Sus scrofa: one gene and its partners. The protein of the gene in region 4 purifies or fractionates together with the protein of the main gene of each other region. This does not show direct contact. Links are inferred from orthologs where the notes say so. Each region holds a gene or a part of one and is shown on either strand. Other genes may lie near its edges.

The links.
Region 1: the proteins of PNMA2 (region 4) and MARK4 purify together in Homo sapiens (co-immunoprecipitation; 3 studies listed by BioGRID and IntAct, with this or other methods). This does not show direct contact. The link is inferred for Sus scrofa from reciprocal best matches to the Homo sapiens genes PNMA2 and MARK4.
Region 2: the proteins of PNMA2 (region 4) and PKN2 purify together in Homo sapiens (affinity purification with mass spectrometry; 3 studies listed by BioGRID and IntAct, with this or other methods). This does not show direct contact. The link is inferred for Sus scrofa from reciprocal best matches to the Homo sapiens genes PNMA2 and PKN2.
Region 3: the proteins of PNMA2 (region 4) and RECQL4 purify together in Homo sapiens (affinity purification with mass spectrometry; 3 studies listed by BioGRID and IntAct, with this or other methods). This does not show direct contact. The link is inferred for Sus scrofa from reciprocal best matches to the Homo sapiens genes PNMA2 and RECQL4.

The regions. Positions count from the first base shown.
Region 1 is NC_010448.4:51,681,813-51,686,992, forward strand, and holds part of MARK4 (MAP/microtubule affinity-regulating kinase 4), read left to right. Parts: intron 1-2,372; coding exon 2,373-2,492; intron 2,493-2,913; coding exon 2,914-3,013; intron 3,014-4,394; coding exon 4,395-4,504; intron 4,505-4,609; coding exon 4,610-4,769; intron 4,770-5,180. UniProt on the Homo sapiens protein: Serine/threonine-protein kinase. Phosphorylates the microtubule-associated protein MAPT/TAU. Also phosphorylates the microtubule-associated proteins MAP2 and MAP4.
Region 2 is NC_010446.5:127,600,874-127,606,053, forward strand, and holds part of PKN2 (serine/threonine-protein kinase N2), read right to left. Parts: intron 4,503-5,180; coding exon 4,328-4,502; intron 4,099-4,327; coding exon 3,972-4,098; intron 2,650-3,971; coding exon 2,519-2,649; intron 2,436-2,518; coding exon 2,360-2,435; intron 2,282-2,359; coding exon 2,190-2,281; intron 1-2,189. UniProt on the Homo sapiens protein: PKC-related serine/threonine-protein kinase and Rho/Rac effector protein that participates in specific signal transduction responses in the cell.
Region 3 is NC_010446.5:289,513-295,115, forward strand, and holds the end of RECQL4 (ATP-dependent DNA helicase Q4), read left to right. Parts: coding exon 1-85; intron 86-192; coding exon 193-324; intron 325-409; coding exon 410-502; intron 503-581; coding exon 582-718; intron 719-1,094; coding exon 1,095-1,178; intron 1,179-1,261; coding exon 1,262-1,441; intron 1,442-1,514; coding exon 1,515-1,694; intron 1,695-1,764; coding exon 1,765-1,879; intron 1,880-1,989; coding exon 1,990-2,252; intron 2,253-2,330; coding exon 2,331-2,601; intron 2,602-2,675; coding exon 2,676-2,805; intron 2,806-2,883; coding exon 2,884-3,041; intron 3,042-3,116; coding exon 3,117-3,297; intron 3,298-3,377; coding exon 3,378-3,528; intron 3,529-3,634; coding exon of another isoform or gene 3,635-3,657; coding exon 3,658-3,766; intron 3,767-3,848; coding exon 3,849-3,973; 3' UTR 3,974-4,116; downstream 4,117-5,603. Other genes in the region: MFSD3 (major facilitator superfamily domain-containing protein 3), read right to left, coding at 4,236-4,409, 4,483-4,598, 4,664-4,788, 4,876-5,023, 5,348-5,603. UniProt on the Homo sapiens protein: An ATP-dependent DNA helicase which unwinds dsDNA with a 3'-overhang in a 3'-5' direction. Does not unwind more than 18 bp of dsDNA. May modulate chromosome segregation. The N-terminal domain (residues 1-54) binds DNA Y-shaped DNA better than ss- or dsDNA.
Region 4 is NC_010456.5:10,424,711-10,430,336, forward strand, and holds the start of PNMA2 (paraneoplastic antigen Ma2), read right to left. Parts: upstream 3,680-5,626; 5' UTR 3,540-3,679; intron 2,805-3,539; exon of another isoform or gene 2,656-2,804; intron 1,570-2,655; exon of another isoform or gene 1,368-1,569; intron 748-1,367; 5' UTR 617-747; exon of another isoform or gene 386-616; 5' UTR 1-385. Other genes in the region: DPYSL2 (dihydropyrimidinase-related protein 2), read left to right, coding at 4,039-4,392.

The DNA of each region.
Region 1 (5,180 bases), on a different chromosome or scaffold from region 4:
CAAGCGCAAAGCCAAGAGACCTTTCCAAAGGGCCAGGCCAGCCTCTCCCCGCCCCAGGCCCTGGTCACCTCCTGCTGTCCTGGTGTCCCCACCAGATACCCAAGCCTTGGGTGAAGGAGACGAGCAGCTGGGGACAGATCCCTGCTCTGTCATGTCCTTACTGAGTGACCTCAGACAGGCCCCTTCCTGAACTTCTGTTTCCCCGCACATAAGATGGGGACACATACAGCCAGACCGCATGCGTAAGGCCCTTCCCTGGGACCTGGCAGTTGGCCAGGGTGTCACCCTCGGGAGCTGCTCTGGGTGGTGGTGTCAGTGGCCTGGGGGTGCCTCTCACCGTCACGTGGAGCGGGGGTGCCACAGTGCAGACTGCCTCTGAGCCCTGGCCCTGCGCCTTCCTGGCTGCACAGCCTCAGAGCAAGTGATATAACCTCTCTGGGCCTCAGTTTCTTTGTCTGGAAAATAGGCACCTGCTTCACAGCATCCTTGTAAACCTAGTATAAAGCGCTTAGAGTTCTGCCCACACCAGCCGAGTACCGTGGAAGCAATACTCATCACTATTAAATATTCACCACGCTGCGGGCTGTGATGACCTGCAGAGGGAGGCTCCCCAGGCATAGGCTTCATCCAGCCCTTTTAGGAGAAGGCCCTCAGAGGGAGCTCCTTCCCAGCCCAGGCCCCCGCAGGGGACTCCGCCCAAGAAACACATCCCTCCTTTCACGCCCTCTGCGTATCTCCCTCCTTCCCCTCCTCCTCCCTCCTTTTCCTCCCTGCTCTTTCTTTCTTTCCTTCTTTCCCTCTCTTCTTTCTCTCTCACCTTCCTCCCTCCCTTCCTTCTCTCCTTTTTTGGCCATGCATGTGGCATGCGGAAATTCCAGGGCCAGGGATCGAACCTGAGCCACAGCAGTGATAATGCCAGATCCTTAACCCACTGCACTGACTGGGGAACTCCACACCCCCTTATTCAGGATGGAGGGGCTCTCCCTGGTCTGCCATGCCGTGGAGCATGGAATTTATTTTTTCTTTCATAGTTTTGGCCCTTAAAAAAAGGTCAATAGGAGTTCCCGTTATGGTGCAGTGGTTAATGAATCCGACTAGGAACCATGAGCAGTTTCGATCCCTGGCCTTGTTCAGTGGGTTAAGGATCTGGCATTGCCGTGAGCTGTGGTGTAGGTCACAGACTCGGCTCGGATCCCAAGTTGCTGTGGCTGTGGTGTAGGCCAGTGGCTACAGTTCTGATTAGACCCCTAGCCTGGGAACCTCCATATGCTGCAGGTGCGGCCCTAGAAAAGGCAAAAAGACCAAAAAAAAAAAAAAAAAAAAAAAAAAAAAAAGGAGCCCATGGTGGCTCACCCCTGAGGTTAAGAACCTGACATAGTGTCCATGAGGATGCGAGTTTGATCCCTGACCTCCCTCAGTGGTTTGGGATCTGGCGTTGCTGTGGCTGTGGTGGAGGCCGGCAGCAACAGCTCTGATTCGACCCCTAGCCTAGGAACCTCCATATACCACAGGTGCGGCCCTAAAAAGAAAAAAAAGTCAACATAAATCAGTGCTCTTGGAGTTCCCATCGTGGCTCCGTGGTAACAAACCTGATTCGTATCCATGAGGGCGTGGGCTCAATCCCTGGCCTCACTCAGATGGTTAAGGATCCAGCGTTGCCGTGAGCTGTGGTGTAGGGTGCAGGCACAGCTCAGATGCTGCGTGGCTGTGGCTGTGGATGGCAGCTGCAGCTCTGATTTGACCCCTAGCCTAGGAACCTCCATATGCCGCAGGTGCGGCCCTAAAAAGGCAGAATATATATGTATATATATATGTATCAGTGCTCATTCTTTGAGACTGCTGGGGCAGGGAGCTTTTTTGGAAAACCAGGCTTAGGATGGGGGCCGGGGCAGGGCTCCCCTCTCTCCTCCCGTTTTGTAAACCCAATATTTAAAAGGCACTTGCTCTGCACGTGACTGGTGCTTGGCATTAACTTCTACAAACTCACTCGTGCCTGGGAAGCTGGTGCTGTGGTCCCAGTTTATAGACACGGAAACTAAGGCCCCAGAGGCTGACCCGCCCGGCCACCTGCTCTCTTATCTGGCTTATGGAATTCACTTGCTCTATAAGATGTCCTCAGAGTGAAAAGTTCTATTACTTTAAAAAATTTCTTTTAACTAAAAAAAAATTTTTTTTTGAAAACTACTGCATCTAGTACAACATTCCCATTTCACAGATGGAAACTGAGGTCAAGAGAAAGTGGTGAGGTTTCCCCCACACGTTGGGGCTGGGACCTGGAGCTCCTGTCACTTCTGTTGGGGGATCAGGAGAAAGGTGTGTGTAGTGAGTGAGGAGGCCGGGTGGACCTGCCCCCAGTAACCCCATCCCCCCAGGAGCTGCGGGAGCGAGTCCTCAGAGGGAAGTACCGGGTCCCTTTCTACATGTCAACAGACTGTGAGAGCATCCTGCGGAGATTTTTGGTGCTGAATCCAGCTAAACGCTGTACTCTGGAGGTGAGCTGAGCCCCGACCCCTCCATCGCAGCTGTCCTGCCAGACCCTAACCCTGCTGGGGGCTGATCTGCTGTCAGAAGGGGAGGGGAGACAGGCAGCCCCGGGAAAAGGCTCCCAGACCCGTCCCGGTGCTGCCCCCCCCAAGCCTCGCCCACTCCCCGACATGCCCGTAATTAGCTAATGAGCTGCTAGGAAGATTACAGGGCGCCGGCACCCAGATGATGCGGAGGAGGAAGGGCGGCTTCGGGAGGCTCCGGCTGGGGGTAGGGTGGGGCTCGGAGGTGCCCGCTTTCAAGGAGCCTTGGATTCTGGGGTGCTGTGCCTTGGAGGCAGGCAGCAGGGTGGGGTGGGGAGCTCACTTTTCTCCCGGGCCTTCTGACATCTCTCTTTGTCCATCTCTGGCCGGCTCCCAATTCCTGCAGCAAATCATGAAAGACAAGTGGATCAACATCGGCTACGAGGGCGAGGAGCTGAAGCCATACACGGAGCCTGAGGAGGACTTCGGGGACACCAAACGAATTGGTGAGGGTCACGCAGAGCGGAGCCACAGGCCTCAGAGCTGGGGCAGGGGGAGCTTCCCAGCACTTACCGCTTTGCTTAGTGCCTGGAGAAGTTTGCGAGGCCCTTAGGGAGAGCAGAGAAGTCTGGGCTCCGAGTCCTGCCCCGCTACTTTCTAGCTGTGTGACCCTGGCCCAGTGGCTTCCCCTCTCTGTGCTTCTGTTGCCTCATCTGGAAGAGGGGATAGTCAGAAAACTTTGCTTCATAGGTTTGTTATGCATGTTAAGTGAATGAGTTTACATAAAGCAATTTACGTAGTTATATTAGTCAGGTAACCAGTGCTGTGTGGTATGTTAGCTTTGACCGCTAAGACAGAAGAAATCACAGATTACTTTTGTCCAAGAAGAGCTTGGACAAAACCGTCAGTAACCTGCATGTTTGAGGAAAACTGCTATTTCGGCACGTGCCTCACCCACCACCTCTTTGGTCCCAATCCCCTCAGCCTGGAGCCGTCCAACACTTGACCCCTAACACAGTAGCCCTGGAAGAACCGTTAGGAACCTTCCAGTTGCCTTCCTTGTACAGATGAGGAGACCGAGGACACCGTTATCTGGCCGTGTTCATCAGGACTTTCATGGTTGCCAGTAACAGAAATGCCAAGTCATTCGGGCCTAAGCTGGATAGTAATAGGTTAAACCATATGAAATTGCCATTCTTATAGCTCAAAAATGGTCAAAACCAGCAATTTCATAAGGTTTAACCTAATAGTGATGTTATTCATTCTCATAACTGAAAAGGCCAGGGTATATCAGCCTTCAGGCATAGCTGGTTCCAGGTGCTCAGAAACATTTGTTGGGTATCTTCTCAGTGGTTACTTCTTTCCCAGGAGCAAGCTGGCAACAGCATGTCCTGGTGGCCTGGATAACCCCCTTCAACAGGAGAAGCCACTTTCCTAATGTTCCAGAAGAAGCCCTTGGTGGTGCCCATTGGCTATCCCTGAACCAATCAGTTTGACCTTGGGGACGGGACACTCTGATTGGCCAGAAGTGGGTCATATGCCCACTCTGAAGCAATCAGTGTGGCTTTGGGTGTGGAGCATTCTGATTGGCCAGACTTGGGTCATAGGCCTCCCCCAAACCAATCACTTTGGTCTTGGGGATGGAACACTCTGATTGGCCAGACCTGGACTCTATATATATGCCTTCCCTTGGGGCTTGGAGCAGGCAGGAGTCAGCCAGATCTGAGCAGGGGAGGAATGTTCTTCCAAGGAAAATCAGGGTGCTGCCGGCAGAAGGGGGGCGTAGATACTGGACAGGCAAAGAGCAGGCATTAGTACGAGATGCGGAAACAAGTGGAAAGGAAGGATATGGGGAGACTGAACCTCCTCTCCATCCCCATCTCCCAGAGGTGATGGTGGGTATGGGCTACACGCGGGAAGAAATCAAAGAGGCCTTGACCAGCCAGAAGTACAACGAAGTGACCGCCACCTACCTCCTGCTGGGCAGGAAGACTGAGGTCAGAAGGCGTCAGGGACCTGCGGGACGCGCGATGCCCAGGGTGGAGGGACTTCTGGGCCAGAGGGGTCGGGGCTGAGGTTCCTTGTCTGTCATCTTCATGCAGGAGGGTGGGGACCGGGGCGCCCCGGGGCTGGCCCTGGCACGGGTGCGGGCGCCCAGCGACACCACCAATGGAACAAGCTCCAGCAAAGGCACCAGCCACAGCAAAGGGCAGCGGAGCTCCTCCTCCACCTACCACCGCCAGCGCAGGCACAGCGACTTCTGTGAGTATGGTCCCCACGCGCTCACCTGCCGTCCCTGGGCCCGAGGCCTCAGACCGTCAGGATTCTCTGGGCAGCAAGGCACAGAGACCTGCTCAGGCCACCTGCAGCGAAGGGAGGAATGTTCTGTAAAGGTGCAGGGATAGTGTATGAAACTTGGGGCACCCGGGCTCAGGAATGCGTTAGAAACTGGAAAAGCCGGAGTTCCCGTCATGGCTGGAAAAGCAGATGAATGCGGAGCGGACACTCTGTGTCTGGCTTCTCGGCTTGTCCGGTTGCTTTCTTTCTTACGTAACTCACCGTATCTCCTTCCCAGGCCCTTACGACTCGTTTTAGAGACCAGCTCAATTCGTAACTGAGATCTTCCTGGTCCACTTGCTATCAGGGTCCAGTTGGTATTAATCCATTTGACTA
Region 2 (5,180 bases), on a different chromosome or scaffold from region 4:
GTTCTACTAGAGATTATTTTATATCCATGTGACTGAACACACGTAGACTTACAACTGAAATTAGATAAAGATCTCTTATCAACTGTTCACCAAGGCTGATTAATTTTAAGTAGAGGCAATGTCTGAGGTGCTGGCTAAAGCTTCATCCTCTGATCTGGACATTCTTCTTTTGTGTGTGTGTGTGTGTCTTTTTGCCTTTTCTAGGGCTGCTTCCGAGGCATATGGAGGTTCCTAGGCTAGGGGTCTAATCGGAGCTGTAGCCGTCGGCCTACAGCAGAGCCACAGCAATGCCAGATCCAAGCTGCATCTATGACTTACACCACAGCTCATAGCAATGCCAGATCCTCAACCCACTGAGCAAGGCCAGGGATCGAACCTGCAACATCATGGATCTTAGTCGGGTTCGTTAACTACTGAGCCACAAGGGGAACTCCCAATCTAGCCTAATTCTAAGGACTCTCCGTATCAGGGAAAAAACATTAAAAGTAGTAATTTGATATACCTACATGGCACTTAAGACAATTTGGTAAGGAAACTATTACAAAAACATGTCTTTTAAAAATATGTGGGCTAACTGAGGTCCAAAGACATTTAATGAATCATGCTTGGGTCAAATATCAATTAAAAAGCAACAATCAGGATAGAGAAATCTTTTCACTTGTTGTCCCAAGTTGTTTTCATTACACAGGGCTGTCTTCCATTAATATTTACCGATACTTCCCAGTGGTTTAAGAAAAACACTGCTACTTCTAAATAGCAAATGAAAGCCTCTTTCTGTAATAAATATGCCACTGGTTATGTAATAATTTCCACGTATAACCATTCCATTTCATGCCGGCCTTTTTAAGGTATATTCTCTAACCTAAGTAAAACATAACCCGCAAAGTACTGACATTTTAATAGCTGTCCATGAAATGTATCCCCATCAATTTATACCCAGAATGGTCAGATGCTTTAGTCAAAAAACATCACTTTAAGGAAAAGAGAGGAAAAATAGATATAGGTGCATTTTATTATTTTATTTTATATTTTTGGCTGCACCTGTGGCACAAGGACATTTCTGGGCCAGGGGCTGAACCCATGCCACAGCAGTGACACGAACCACAGCACTGACAACACCAGGTTCTTAACCTGCGGAGCCACCAGGGAGCTCCTATGGGTGTATTTACATTTTGGAGCGGGGGAGGGCTGCTCCCACAGCATGTGGAATTTCTTGGTCCAGGGATCAAACATGTGCCAGGTACATTTTAAAAAGCAGAATAAATTAGCCATGCAGCTAACGGAAGATTATTTGAACATGGCATCTCATTACTTCTGTAATATGAAATGGGAAATGGCTTCACCTAACCACAGATGTCCAACAGTTCCTATTCCACATAAACATTTCCAAGTATAAAACCTTATCAGAATTAGTTTAAACATTTCATCATCTTTCCCTGGTGTCACTCATGAGCAAACTGCCATAAGAAGGGGAAGAAGGAGTTGGCTAGAAAGAAAAACAGTATTTAATTATGCATTAATTTATTTAGTTTCTTTACTTATCACAGCTGATCCCTGAAGAGCATGGGAATTAACCCATGCATAATTTATAGGTGGCCCTCTGTATCTGCAGTTCTTCCTATCTGTGGATCAACCAACCACAGACCATGTACTACGGAAAAATACCATGTTTCAGAGTTTTCTTGTGGCTCAGCAGGTTCAGGATCTCAAGATACCACTGCAGCAGCTCAGATCCCTGCTGTGGCATGGGTTTGATCCCTGGCCCAGGAACTTCCACATGCTATGGGAGAGGCCAAAAAAAAAAAAAAAAAAAAAAAAAGGCAAGAAAATATTCACATTTAAGTGGATCCATGCAGCTGAAACCCACGTTGTGGGGTTCCCAGTGTGGTGTACCAGGGTCATCGGTGTCAAGATGCAGGTTCGATCCCCGGCCTGACTCAGTGGGTTAAAGGATCTGACTATTGCTGTAGCTGAAGTGTAGGTCACAGCTGAGGCTCAGATCTAATCCCTGGCTCGGGAATTCTGTATGCCATAGGGTGGCCAAAACAAGGGGAAAAAAAAAGAACCCATGTTGCTCAACTGTCCACTGTATCATGAAAATAAACTTTTTGTTGCAATATATACACGATTTTCATGACATTAAGTTGCAACCTTGGAAAAATAAACAATTTCATGTTTTAAAAACTAACCTGTCTACTTCATCTCGAGCCACAATGTCTCCTTTCTTTAAGGCTTTTATAGCAAACATTTCGTTTGTGTGTTTATATTCAGCCAAAAGCACCTGAAATGAGATTAAAATAGTTATTTCTCATTTGAGTTATTACTTTTGTAGGCATTCCAAGAAAATTTAAAAGATTACCTTTCCAAAATGTCCTCTACCCAAGACAGCACAACATCTGAAGTCTTGTAGATTAAACTGGAACATCTGTTGAGATCTGAAAACAGTAATGTCAATTAAAAACAAGGCGCAAATATGGGACCAAACATGCAGCCACAGCACTGGGTATATGGCCTTTACCTTCTGTCCTCAAGTTCATGAATACCACTATATTCTAAGCCCGACTGAGGAATATCAGGTTCATATTCAGACTGAGACTTTGGAAGGATACTATTTCTGTCATTCTCAGTATCAAAAAGAGTTTCTGAATCCTGCAAAACATTAAACACGCAATAAATCACAGAAACATTCAGGAAACAACTTACTAGGTAAGGATAGTTTTTAAAAAGTTAAAAGTAAATATAAATATCACAAAATAAAGTTCAGATATTAGATATTCATTTTTGTCGTTACTAATTCTATACTACTTTTACTTAAAAAATGTAAAAAAAAAATACATTGGAAAGAACGAAAACACTAATTCAAAAAGCTTAACGAACCCCAATGTGCAGCAGCACTATTTACAACAGCCAGCACGTGGAAGCAAGCCTAGTGCCCATCAAGAGGCCGTGGGTTTAAGAAGATGTGCCCCCTCCCCAAGACACACAGAATATTATTCTGCCATAAAAAAGAATGAAATACTGCCAATTGCAGCAACATGGATGGACCTAGAAAATATTATGCTTAGTGAAATAAACTGGACAGAGAAAGAAATACTATATGATAGCACTTACACATGGAATCTAAATATGAAACAGAAACAGAACAGACTCAGATTTAGGAAACAGATTTATGGTGACTAGAGGGAGAACCAAGAGGGAGGAGCAAATTAGGGGGAATGGGATTAACAGATACAAACTACTACATAAAACAGGTAAGCGACACGGATGTATTTTAGAGCACGTCATCTTGAAATCTCCTACGACGGAACAGATCTCTGCAAAAATACTGAATCGCTATGCTGCACACCAGAACACAATGTTGTAAATCAACCATATTTCCATATTACTGTTATCGTCAACGCATTTTCAGAAACCATGTTAATCTAGTTAGAAGATGCAGTGATTCGTTCACTATCAGCCGCGGTCCGCTCCCGGGTCAGGCAGCCTATTCCTATTCCCATGCTCCCAGGTTAGGTGGCCTATTCCACCCCAACTGGCTCACGAGCATCCAGAGGTTTTTATGTTTCCCTCACAAGAATCATAAAAAACAGTCCACACAGCTATTTTTAACTGAAATGCACCTCTTATTGACTATGATGCTTTTACTGGCTAATTCATTAGGTGAAAAGGAATTATATAGGTTTAAGATGTCTTGCCTGGAGTTCCCGTTGTGGTGCAGCAGAAATGAATCCAACTAGTAACCAGGAGGTGTGGGTTCGATCCCTGGCCTTGCTCAGTGGGTTAAGGATCCAGTGTTGCCATGGGCTGTGGTGTAGGTCACAAACGCAGCTCGGATCCTGCATTGCTGTGGCTGGGGCGTACGATGGCAGCTGTAGCTCTGATTCAACCCCTAGCCTGGGAACCTCCACATACTGCAGGTGTGGCCCTAAAAAGTGAGAAGAAGGAAAAAAAAAAAAAAAAAAAAGCCTTGCCTGTCCTGGTGTATCCAGATCTCTTAATTCAGCAGCTTCATCTACTTCTCCGAGGGAAGAATCACGTGGTGGGGCCGGAGGAGGTACGGGTTCGAGATCAAAGTCCAATTTGGTTACTGCGGAATCACTTAGAAAAGATAAAGCAATTCACCGAAGGCAGTAATCAAAAGTATGTATTTTAAACAGCTTTAAATTTAAAGCAAACCATTTTACTGCTTTAAAAGGAAGCAGAACACTGACTTCAAAACACTATTTGGAAAAAATGAGATCTTTAATAGACTTAAAGTAATCAGTATATACAAATATCACAATAACTATTTTATAAAAGCAGTGCTTAAAAATCTTAAGACACATACGTAGCTGGAGGTGCTAGCTCAGGAAGGCGCACATCAACCACTGGCACTGCAGCAGGCACGGGGGCTTGGGGGCTGAAGGTGCCAGAATGATTTACTGTAGGAATAGCTCTTCTCACTAGCCTTCCCCAAGTGGCAATATTAATATTCATTTGAGGAGCTCTGAGAAATGTTTTGCCTGTGGATATTGTAAATAAAGGAAACAGAACAAGTAATTCTTTAATATGTTACCAAAAGCCATAATTTAAAAATTCATATTCATCAGTTATAATTTATGAAGAATAAACAAAATTTGTCACTTAAAAAATAGTTCTTAACTATTTGTTATTAAAGGCTAGTGCAAAATAGCACTATCGGTTTTGAAAATAAATAGATAGGAACCACTTCTTTTTTTACACATCTATCTAGTAATGATATATGGTTAAGGTTTAGAAAAAAAGGAGTTCCCACTGTGGCTCAGTGGTTAAGGAATCCGACTGAGAACCATGAGGTTGCGTGTTTGATCCCTGGCCTTGCTCAGTGGGTTAAGGATCCGGCGTTGCTGTGAGCTGTGCTGTAGGTCGCGGACGCGGCTCGGATCTGGCGTGGCTGTGGCTGTGGTGTAGGCCGGCAGCTACAGCTCCGATTGACCCCTAGCCTGGGAATCTCCATATGCCAAGGGAGCGGCCCTATAAAAGGCCAAAAGGCCAAAAAAAAAAAAAAAAAAAAAAAAAAGGTTTAGGAAAAAAATGCTTCTCTTTTAGTGATACTAACTGTGACATTTACAAACGAATCAATATGATGTCTGGGTTTGCTTGAAATAATCTGAGGCAACTGTGAGAAACAGAATACAGACGAGGACACGAGCTGAGTTGTT
Region 3 (5,603 bases), on a different chromosome or scaffold from region 4:
GGCAAGGATGAGGATGACACAGGGACTCTGCCCATGTTAGAGGAAGTACCCCAGAGAACGGGCACCACCTGCTGCCAACTTCCTGGTGCGTGAAGGAGCGGACAAGAGGTTGGAGCAAGTGGCCTCCTTTCCGGGATGAGCCCAGACCAGCCTGGAGCTTTTGTGCTACCCTGTCCTGTCTGCTCTTGGCAGGTGAGGAAGACACAGAGCCTGCAGGGCCTGAGCTGTCAGTGCCCATGCAGTCATCTATGCCCAGGGCGCCCTGTCCACCACCTCCTCCCGTGCCCCCACTCTACCCGCTGGGACCGTCAGGGCAGGTGGCAGGTGAGTAGCCACCTACCATCCCAGTGCCTTTACTGAGGAGGTGGGGGCGTCTCGGGGCCATACCGCCTGACACCTGTGCCTGCAGACACCCCAGCCGAGGTGTTCCAGGCCCTGGAGCAGCTGGGGCACCAAGCCTTCAACCCTGGACAGGAGCACGTGGTCATGCGGATCCTGTCTGGTCAGTTTGGTTGGCAGGGGGCTGTGGTGGGGCCAAGGCCGGCCACAGGGTGGCACTATTGACCCTCAGAAACATCCAGGTATGTCAACACTGCTGGTGCTGCCCACAGGGGGTGGCAAGTCTCTGTGCTACCAGCTCCCTGCGCTGCTCTACTCCCGGAGAAGCCCTTGCCTCACGTTGGTCATCTCTCCCCTCATGTCACTCATGGATGACCAGGTGGGTGGACAGGGCCCCTGGGCACATGCAGAAGGTGAGAATGGGTAGCCACCGCTCCGTCAACCTACTTGGGCTGTTGGTTCTTGCTCTGCCCCACCCAGCGCTGCAGAGAGCCTGGCTGTTCACAGCCCCAGGCCCCCCAACAGGAGGAACGGCACTGGGGGAATGACACCCCCCCCCCACTACCTGTCTATTCCTGGTGCTCCTGCATCAGGCCCGCAGGTGGCTCTGAACCCTGAGTCGTGGGACCCAGGATCTAGGTTTCTTCTCCTCAGAGGGCCCGAAGTTGAGAGAGCAGTGGTTGGCAGGCCAAACCATCCTAAGAGTTGTGTGGGGAAGGGCCAGGGTGGGTGGCATCATGCTCCTGTATCTGCAGGTGTCTGGCCTGCCCCCAGGCCTGAAGGCGGCCTGCATCCACTCAGGGATGTCGAAGAAGCAGCGGAACTCTGCCCTGCAGAAGGTAAGGGGGCCTAAGGGCCAGATGGGCAGAGGGAGCAGTCCCCTGGAGGCCCTGTGCAGTTGTCCTGACCTTGCCACCCTCAGGCTCGATCAGCCCAGGTACAAGTGCTGATGCTGTCGCCAGAGGCGCTGGCTGGGGCAGGAGCAGCGGGGCTTGCCTTCCTCACCCAGCTGCCCCCGGTTGCTTTCGCCTGCATCGATGAGGCCCACTGCCTCTCTCAGTGGTCTCACAACTTCCGGCCCTGCTACCTGCGAGTCTGCAAGGTAAGCCTTGAGGGGACCGGTGAGTGGGCCAGGGAAGGTGGGGTGGTTGTCCTTACCACCCGCCTCCACGCAGGTGTTACGGGAACGCGTGGGTGTCAGCTGCTTCCTGGGTCTCACGGCCACGGCCACGCGCAGCACTGCCCTCGACGTGGCTCAGCACCTGGGTGTGGCTGAAGAGTCTGTCCTCAGGGGGCAAGGCACCATCCCTGCCAACCTGCACCTCTCTGTGTCCATGGACAGGGACCCAGACCAGGTAAGTGGGTACAGGGGCCCAGCCAAGGTCCTGCTGCCTGGCTGCAGAGACAGACCGTGCTCTCTCGCAGGCTCTGGTGACACTGCTGCAGAGTGACCGTTTCTGTGCCCTGGACTCTATCATCATCTACTGCAACAGGCGAGAGGACACCGAGCGTGTCGCTGCCCTGCTGCGCACCTGCTTGCGTGAGACCTGGGCCCTGGGACCCGGAGGTTGGGGTAGCGGGGCAGGGCTGTGCCCCACAAGACCGCTGTAGGCACGCTCCCCACCTGACCATCTGTGCCTCTCCCTGCAGGCTGGGCCCCAGAGGCCGTGGCTGAAGCCTACCATGCAGGCATGTGCAGCCGGGAGAGGCGGCGGGTGCAGCGGGCCTTCATGGAGGGCCGGCTACGGGTGGTGGTGGCCACGGTTGCCTTCGGGATGGGGCTGGACCGGCCAGACGTGCGGGCCGTGCTTCATCTGGGGCTGCCCCCAAGCTTCGAGAGCTACGTGCAGGCTGTGGGCCGGGCTGGGCGCGACGGGCAGCCCGCACACTGCCACCTCTTCCTGAGGCCCCAGGTGAGCATCCACCCGCTGGAGCTGCCCAGCGCCCCCCCCTACTGCAGCCCTTCGTTCACGGTGGCTGCTCTGCTGCAGGCTGAGGACCTGTGGGAGCTGCGCAGACATGTGCACGCCGACGCCATCGACTTCCTCGCCGTGAAGAAGCTGGTGCAGCACGTGTTCCCTGCTTGCGGCCACGCTCAGCAGCCCCTGGTGCCTGAGCCAGGCGAGAGCCAGGAGAGCTCGGCGGCCACAGTCCCCTGGGATGCCGACCACCCCCACGTGGAGCTCACAGCCCGGTGCCCGGGCCACGAGCGGGCACTCCCAGTGCAGCCAATGGTGCAGGCCCTGGATGTGCCCGAGGAGGGTGAGAAACAGGGGCCGTGTGTGGCCGGGGCGTCCCCATGTCCCCACGTCCCCTGAGCCCTGCTCTGCCCCTAGCCATTGAGACCCTGCTCTGCTACCTGGAGCTGCACCCACAGCGCTGGCTGAAGCTGCTGGAACCCACCTATGCCCGCTGCCACCTGCGCTGCCCTGGGGGCCCCACCCAGCTCCAGGCCCTGGCCCGCAGGTGACTACACTTCCCCCTGGGCTGGGGACAGGGACCAAGGACCAGGCTTCCGATCACATGCCCCCTTCCCTGGCTCAGGTGTCCTCCCCTGGCTGCGTGCTTAGCCCAGCAGAGCCCTGAGAACACAGCTTCTGTGGAGTTCGATGTGGTGGAGCTGGCAGACTCCATGGGCTGGGAGCTGGCCCCCGTGCGGCGGGCCCTCCGGCAGCTACAGTGGGACCCGGAGCCCAGGACAGGTGCGCCTGCCCCCCAGCCCTGCTTGCGGTGGGCTTACCTGCCCACCTGCCCATGTCTAACACCCTGTCTGGCAGGTCTGCCTCGGGGCACGGGGGTGCTAGTGGATTTCAAGGTGCTAGCCTTCCACCTGCGCTCCCCCGGGGACCTGACCGCCCAGGAGAAGGATCAGATCTGTGACTTCCTACATGGACGCGTGCAGGCCCGAGAGCGAGAAGCCCTGGCCCGCCTGCACCACACCTACTGGGCTTTTCACAGGTGCTGGAGGAGGTGGGCGGGGCCTGGGCCACCCCACCCACCCCCAGGTGGGCAGACCTAACTAGCCCATGCCACCCCAGCGTGGCCTTCCCCAGCTGTGGGCCGTGCCTGGAGCAGCCCGATGAGGAACGCAGTGGCAGGCTCAAGGCCCTGCTCCGCCGCTACTTTGAGGAAGAGGAAGCAGGTCCAGAGGGCATGGACCAGCAGGGCCCCGAGCCAGGCCAGGCCACGGTGAGTGCCAGGATCTCCAGGGAAGGTCAGGCCGTGGCAGGCATGAGCGTGCGTGCACTGTGCGCACACGGGTACACACTCACTCCCTGCCCTGTGCCGCGGCAAGACTGATGTGTCCCCCACGGGCAGCTCCAGGACTGGGAGGCTCAGATCCGACGGGACATCCGCCACCTGCTGTCCTCGTGGCCTGAGCAGCAGTTCTCAGGCAGGGCTGTAGCCCGCGTCTTCCACGGCATTGGTGAGGACCTGGGAGGCACAGCCTGGAGAAAGGCAGGGGCTGGCAGCCAGAGTCCCCAGGGCCACATCTCTGTCCACCGCAGGGAGTCCCCGCTATCCAGCCCAGGTGTACGGGCGGGACCGGCGCTTCTGGAGAAAATACCTGCACCTGAACTTCCACGCCCTGATGCACCTGGCCACAGAGGAGATCCTGCTGTGGGGCCGCTGAGTGGCCTGCTGGGGGGACCGTGTCAGCACAGCAGAGATGAGGCATCGGCGGCCAGAACACTGTGTAGCCCCTCTGGACAAAGCCTACTGCCGGGGCGCGGGGGCAAGGAGGCCTTAAAGCAGAATAAAAGATGCTCACGTCTTTTTTAGGGACCTTCCTTCCAGTGGGGACAACCCCACAGTCTGAGGACAACCAAGCACATCTCAGTCCAGACACAGGCCTCGGGTCCACTCCACTTTATTGACAAGGCCAGCCACCCGGCTCAGGCCAGCGTGCTGGGTGCAAGGCCTAGGCACAGCATGGGTGTGGCTGAGAGAGCGAGGAAGAGGAAGAAGCAGAAGCGCAGCCCCAGGCTGTCAGCCAAGGCTCCGGCCAGCGCGCCCACCAGCAGCTTCCCCAGCAGCTCCAGAGTGGCCAGGAGGCTGTAGTGTGTGGCCTGGAGATTTGTGGAGATCAGTCAGGACCTGCTTGGACTCCAGTCCCGTGGCCCGAATGTCCCAGCCACGTACCCTCACCTGCAGGGCACTGGGTGCCAACTGGCTGCAGCGCATCATCAGGGTGAAGGTGGTGGTTGTGACCAGGCCTCCCAGGAAGTGCTGCAGACACAGGCTCAGCAAGGCTGCCCCTGGGGGTGCTGAGGTCAGCAGGGCTCAGGATTCTAGGCTCCTCCCCCCATGGACAACCTCTCACCTCTCAGGACTGTGCCAGGGCCCACCCTGGCCCCAGGGGCATCCAGATGAAAAACCAAGACAGTCTGGCAGGCCAGGCCCCCAAGACGGAACCGAAGCAGTGACCTCAACAGGGGCAGTGGCTGCCTGGGGTGGGGAGACTGGGTAGGTCAGAGGGGGTGGGGAAGGTAGGGGTGGGGGGGTGGCAGGCAGGGCAAGCTGAGGGGGACGCACCGGTGCCTGGCCAGCAGGGCGCCACCCAGAGATGAGCCCACAATGGAACAGACCACAGCGCCCACGCCATTCCACAGCCCCAGCTCTGGGGTAGAGACGCCACAGTCCAACAGGAGGAGTGGGAACAGGCTGCTGGTGCCCTGCTCACCTGCAAAGAGAAAATCAGCAGGGGCAGCCTGCTTCCCTCTCCATTGTGCTTCCCCAACCCTGCTTCTGCCTCAGGCTACAGGTGCCAGAAGCTGGGGCTGGGCATTGGCTGAGCTCAGGGTCAGCAGGGAGTAGAGAGGCTTTGGCAGGGGGCAGTGTGGCTGGAGCTCAACAGCTGTGGAGCTGGACCTGCCGGACAAGAAGCGAGGCCACTGGGCTCCAGCCTGCAAGTCGTACTCCAGAAAGAAGGAAGGCAGTCCCACAAATGGGCCCCATAGTCATGGGGACCCACCTGGAGCTCCCCCAGGCTCCCGCCCCTACTCACCCAGCTTGTAGGAGAGCACAAAACCTGCCATCCACAGGGTCCCAGGCACGGCCAGCAAGTGCTGCTGAAGGTGCAGCGTGTGTCGGCGGGGTTCTGATGGCTGAGGCGCAGGAAGCTGTTGCAGGGCCGGTGCAGCCCAAGCCAGGGCAGCAGCCAGCCAATAGGTGGCAGCCAGGAGCAGAAAGAGCAGGGGCCAGGAGAGGGTGGGCAAGAGGGTCAGCAGTCCACCCCCAGCCAGCACCGCCCCCAGCTTGTA
Region 4 (5,626 bases):
TCCAACAGCAGCATCAGAGGCTTCTGGAACAATAACCCTTACTGCCCAGTGGCCAGAACTCGGCTCTTTCTGTTAGGTCTCCACACCTGACCCAAGGTGAGCAGTTAGTATCTCAGGACAGCACCCCAGCCCCCGCCTGTGTCTCCAGAGCCGGTTCCCTCCTGAAGCCACGTGGTGGGACTGCCCCACTGGAAAAGTGAGAAGCAGCTGCTTTCAGAGTGCTCTGGGGCTCTGGCACCTCACCACTCTAGCAGGTGGGGAGACGCCTCCACTCAGGCACCCAGAACTCCTGGAGGGAAGTCTCCCAGCAGCGTGGCTTGGGCTCTTGGGGAAACAATGGCCAGTTTTACCACACAGCTTTCTCCTTCCCAGGAAGCACCTGTACCTGGTTAGGGACAGAAGTGAGGGTAAACCAGGGATTCTGCCCCACACTGTATTTGAGTCAGACCTCTTCTTTGCTTATAGTGATTTTTTTGTTGTTGTTCTCTTGGGGACTTTCCTGCAAGCTGGCTTTCCCACCCTATGCTCACCAGGCATGCAGATTAATGGAGCCCTAGTTGTGGACAGGAAGATCTTTCCCACATGCAGAATGACATCAGGAGATGTGGCCAGATACCTGTTTATGTGTTTCAAATCATCCCATGACAGCCAAGGAGCTTATGTATTCAGCTTCTAGCACAAGATGTCACTCCATGCCACACAACGGCATGTCTGGGTGTTTCTCAGCGCCAGCCAAGCCACGCTGTCCTGTATAAATATAATTGTAGTGTAATTTTATGACCTAATGATATCCAAAGTGAAGACTGTTAATACACTTTTTCCAAAACATGGCAATCCTTCACAATTTAATTAAATCTACTAAACAATAGTGAGTTGCTTCATTTCTTTGATTAAAAAATCCAATCAGAAATCACTCAAACATTTAAAACCAACTGAACACAGGTATAAAATATAACATATAATACACTTTAATATAACATTATAGGTAAAATTTAATATAGGTTTAACAATTAGAAAAAACTTGTAGAACCAAATAAGTTAAACTTGGAATTATGAATTCCCTATGGTTATGCCTGGTCAGGTTTTGAAAATGCACAAGTAGGGGCCTTTCTTGCTATAAATGTTTCATTAGTAACATGATGCTTTCTTCATAGCATCTGAACTTGAATGGGTGATTTGAGGACAAAGAAAAATCGAGGAGGCACATCTGTGGTGAGCCGGTGGAGACTGAATAATGTAAAAAGGGAAGACTGTCTATCATCCCGTTGCTGTCATGCATCGTGGAGTGTGTGTTAAGGTGCCACAACTATTTTTTCCCTAAAAATCTCCATCACTCCAAATGGGGTCCATATGCCACAGATGCCAACCTGCAGCTACAGTGGCAGCTGTTCTTGCTGCAGGCACATTTCCTGAGTCCTTCTGGAAGGTGCTGAAAGTGGGGCATGTGCCAGAGGGTCAGAAGGGCAAAATGCTGGATCACGTCCTTGCCCTGCAGCCCCAGGGATCTGAACCCAGGGACTTCATCATGCCTCCTGTTCCTCTTCTAAGACGTGGGAGTGACCTTCCTCCCTGTTGCAATAGAGGAAACATAAGGTGGAAAAAGACACTGGGTACCCAGGAAGAAACAGCTCTAAGGTCTACATAATAATGGTCATGCTGAAGTTAGGCTATCTTTGGGTGTCTTCTTCTTCCAAAACCAGTCTCTACCTGCAATGCAACCTACCTTCAAGTTAAAAAAAATAAAAAATAAAAATAAAAGGCGAGTGAAACATTCCTGACACACAATAAAGCCACAGATGGAAATATTTGAATATAGGGGAAAATGTGAAAATCTTGTCCTTTCTCCTATAAAGACAGGATAAGGTCAAAAAGGAACCAGACTTCCAGGTGGAAGACCTCACTGGAATTGCTGGATCATTTAACTAGACAGTTACCTTGGGCAAAGCCTCTACATCTGTTTTCTACCCTGGAATCCTGGGAAGTGGTGACAATGAAACACTCATCTCAGGGGGCTGCTGGCAGTAGGAAATGGCGTGATTCGTGTGGAAGCATTTTATTCAAATGTGAAGCACATCTGGTGCTCAGTCCAAATGCCTGCCTCTGGTTCTCTCATCCCCTGCACATGTAAATTCCTCTCTCCTCCCTCCTCCTCTCCTTCTCATCCCCAGATGCCTTCCCACCTATCATGGTGGGCTTATCTTCAAACTGGGACTGGTTGTCCTCAGAATTTAACTCCATTTACCAAACTATCCATCACAATTGGGAGAGGCAGGGTATCCACATTTAACCCTTCCAGGGGTGAGGGATGACAATGGGATCGGATCTTTGGTTACTCTGCCCAGCAACGACACTCCTATGGTAGAGTGTTTTCCAGTCCAACCCACCCAGCTTAGTGAGCATGCCCAGAGCTCCTTCTCCAGCAGCCAAAGGATGGGCATCATTTCTGCAGGATTTTGCCACTGAAGAGAGAAAGGCAGGGCTGTAATCAATCATGGGCAGGGACTGAGACGTGGAAAGGACAGAGGGATAGGTGTAAGTAATAAAGAGCCCTCAGAGACTGTGTTACTGGCATACATTAAAATGCCCTCTGGATGCCCACTAAACCGGTGGTGGCTGTGGCTAGTCTACTGGCGCATGCACACCATGTCCCCATACCTCATTCTCCTGCTGGATTTCACACAGTTCTTCACTCATCACAGCTGGCACCCCATCTCCTTACCCTGCACTGGCCGCGCGCGCAAGAAGGCCTCAGGCACGAGGCTTCTGGCAACCTAGGAAACCCCGTGGTTCTGGCGCAGTGCGCAGCAGGGCGGGGAAATGAGGCGGGGCGCCCTGGGCGCTGGGTAGGGCTGGAGATTTGGGGAGTGGGCTTCAAAGAATGTCTTTCTCCCTTCTTTGCCGGGTTGGGGGCGGGGGAAGATGCATTCTGCTGGGCTTTTCTTGGCGCTGTGGCGCAATTACGGTATACGGCGCGCCAGTGTAGCGGTCTGCTCCCTCTCTCACTATACATCCAAGTTGCCGCGCTGGGCTGGAATTTGCAGACTACACTCTTTGCTACACTCCCACAGACCGTGGACCTATGTCTCTCTCTATATATACCGACTTCCTCCGCATTTGCTATGCCTCTCTGCATTTCTCTCCGCCACGCTGCGCGCCCCCCACCACAGTGGGTATAGTAAATGAGGAACTTGTTTCAATCTCTGCTCCCAGTAGCCCACCAAGGCCAATGGATAGACCGCGCCCTATATGGCCCCCACCACTCTGCGCAGCCTGCGCCATCCTTTCTCCGTCCTGAGTGCCGCCCCTTACCTTCCCGCTGAGTGTCCTGAGTCTACCAGTTTCTGCCCCTTTTCCTATCCATTAGCTCGCACTCGGGTAAGGGGGAGGGAACCCTCCACACAGTGGGCCCTCGCCCCTGGGCCAGCTCTGCATTGCGGTGGGAGAGAGGTGCCTGGGCCGGGCAGTTCGGGGAGAGGGGAGCGGGGGCCTGGGATGGCGCCCTCGGATCTTCGCCCCAGCGTGCCCTGCCCCATACTTACCCTGGGGCCGAGAGCGGTCAGCGGGCTTTCTGCTCCGCATCCATTAGCCGGGGGTCTGGCCGCTTCACTTCCGGAGCGTGGGGTCTGGGCGGCGCGGCCCTCCCCAGCTTCCCCAGCGCTGAGCTCCCCTCCCCAGCGCCGCGCCCCGCCCCCGCCCCGCCCGCGCCTCCCCCCACCTCCCGCCGCTGCTGGTAACTGGCAGCCTCTCGGTTCTTGCTGCCGCAGCGGCCACCCTCCCAACCCCAACTTTGCCGCTCGCGGGAGCTCGCGAGGCTGCGGGGGGCGTGGGCAGGGAGGGGAGAAAGCGGGGTCAGGGGGAGGGACCGGGAGGGGTGGGTCGCTCGCTCGCCAGCCCTCGTTCCTTTCTGTACACCTTGCGGTAGGCAGAGAGCAGCAGCCGAGGCAGCAGCCGGGGGGGATTTTTGCACAGAGACAGGCAGACTTAGGGACCCGCTGAGGAAAGAACGGACAGAGAGGACACTCCCCAAGCCCCCAAGCCATGGCAGAGAGGAAGCAATCCGGGAAGGCGGCAGAGGACGAAGAGGTCCCTGCCTTTTTTAAAAACCTGGGCTCCGGTAGCCCCAAGCCTCGACAGAAATTCTGTGGCATGTTCTGCCCGGTGGAAGGGTCCTCGGAGAACAAGACCATCGACTTCGACTCGCTGTCGGTGGGCCGGGGCTCGGGGCAGGTGGTGGCTCAGCAGCGGGACGTCGCCCACTTGGGCCCGGACCCGCAGCCGCCGTACTCCCGGCAGGGTCGGCGCGCCGGCGGGGAGCCATCTGTTGAATCGGGCCGGAAGGTGGAGATCCGGCGGGCCTCCGGTAAGGAAGCCCTGCAGAACATCAACGACCAGGTTGGTATGGAGGAGGGGCGGAGGTGTTCGAGACAGGACGGAGCGTGGGGCTCGCCCCTCCCTCGCGCCCCTTCCAGCTCGGTGAAAAGCCGAGGATCCCAGCGTGCCCACCGTCCTGCCCCACCTCGAATATCGCTTCCCTGCATGTGCACAAGCACCCCACCCTACCCGCCCCTTCTCCGTGCAGGGTTCGGAGAAGCTCGGGCTGGGCGGTGGGCGGCTGTGCGCCCACAAAGGCTCCCCGCGCTTCCCTGGGCCTGGGTGGTGGGGGTAGGGGTAAAGGATGGGCCTATCCCCGGCTGGGGGGTCTCTTGGTTGGAGGGGGAGGGGATGGGCCGAGGTTCCATTCTTCTTAAATCCTCCCGGGCAGCTTCCGATTGCAGCTGTGTCTGGCTGCCCCACCCTTTTTTGATGCAGCTCAGAGCGTGCAGTGGAGGGTTCGCGTGAAGGCCGGCGGGTTCCCCGGGGGTCGGGAGGGGCGGGGGCCTAGACGACAGCTCCCCGCCGCGCCCTGCGTACACTTCCAGCGCATCCCCTCTGTCGTCCTCCGCTCTCGCATCCCGAGCTCGGAGGCCAGGACCATGGTCAGCGCCTCCTCGGACTGCAAGCGAGAATCTATCTCGTCACCCTGACTTCTGTTTGCAGCGAGAGAAGAACCAGGGAGGAGGTGGTGTCACGCGAGGAAACCGCGACCCTCCTAAATAGCCCACGTGGAGAACAGAGTTCCGCTAAGTATCTCAGCAAGGGCTTCCCAGAGCGCTCCCTTCAACCTCCGCCACTATTTGGGAGGGGCTTTGGAGATGGGGACTAAGTGGATTATATTCAACGGGTAAAAAGAAAAGAAAAGGGAAAGCCTCTCACATTTTGAATGCACTTTCATAGATGGATTAGATTCCCTATAGTGTTAATGGGGAAACAAAGACAACCATTTGGTAAACCTGATTTCAGAATATGTTTATCATCTCTGGCAAATATGTACGGTGTGCATTTTAGGTGTAATAGTCTTCTCGCACGTTTTTTCTTTATCAGGGTGACCTTCATACTTGTGCAGATTTTCCCCCACAGCCTTAAATTCTCAACTGAGAAATTACAGTGTGAAAGGTTTCAACACTTGTTTGCTGGTTTTCTTCCATGCCCATTGATTGCTGAAGATGAGAAATCAGTCAATGATTGATTATTTGTTACCTATTATGTGCCTTGCTTTTCTGGGTAGGGTCAAGGTTAGCTATAACAA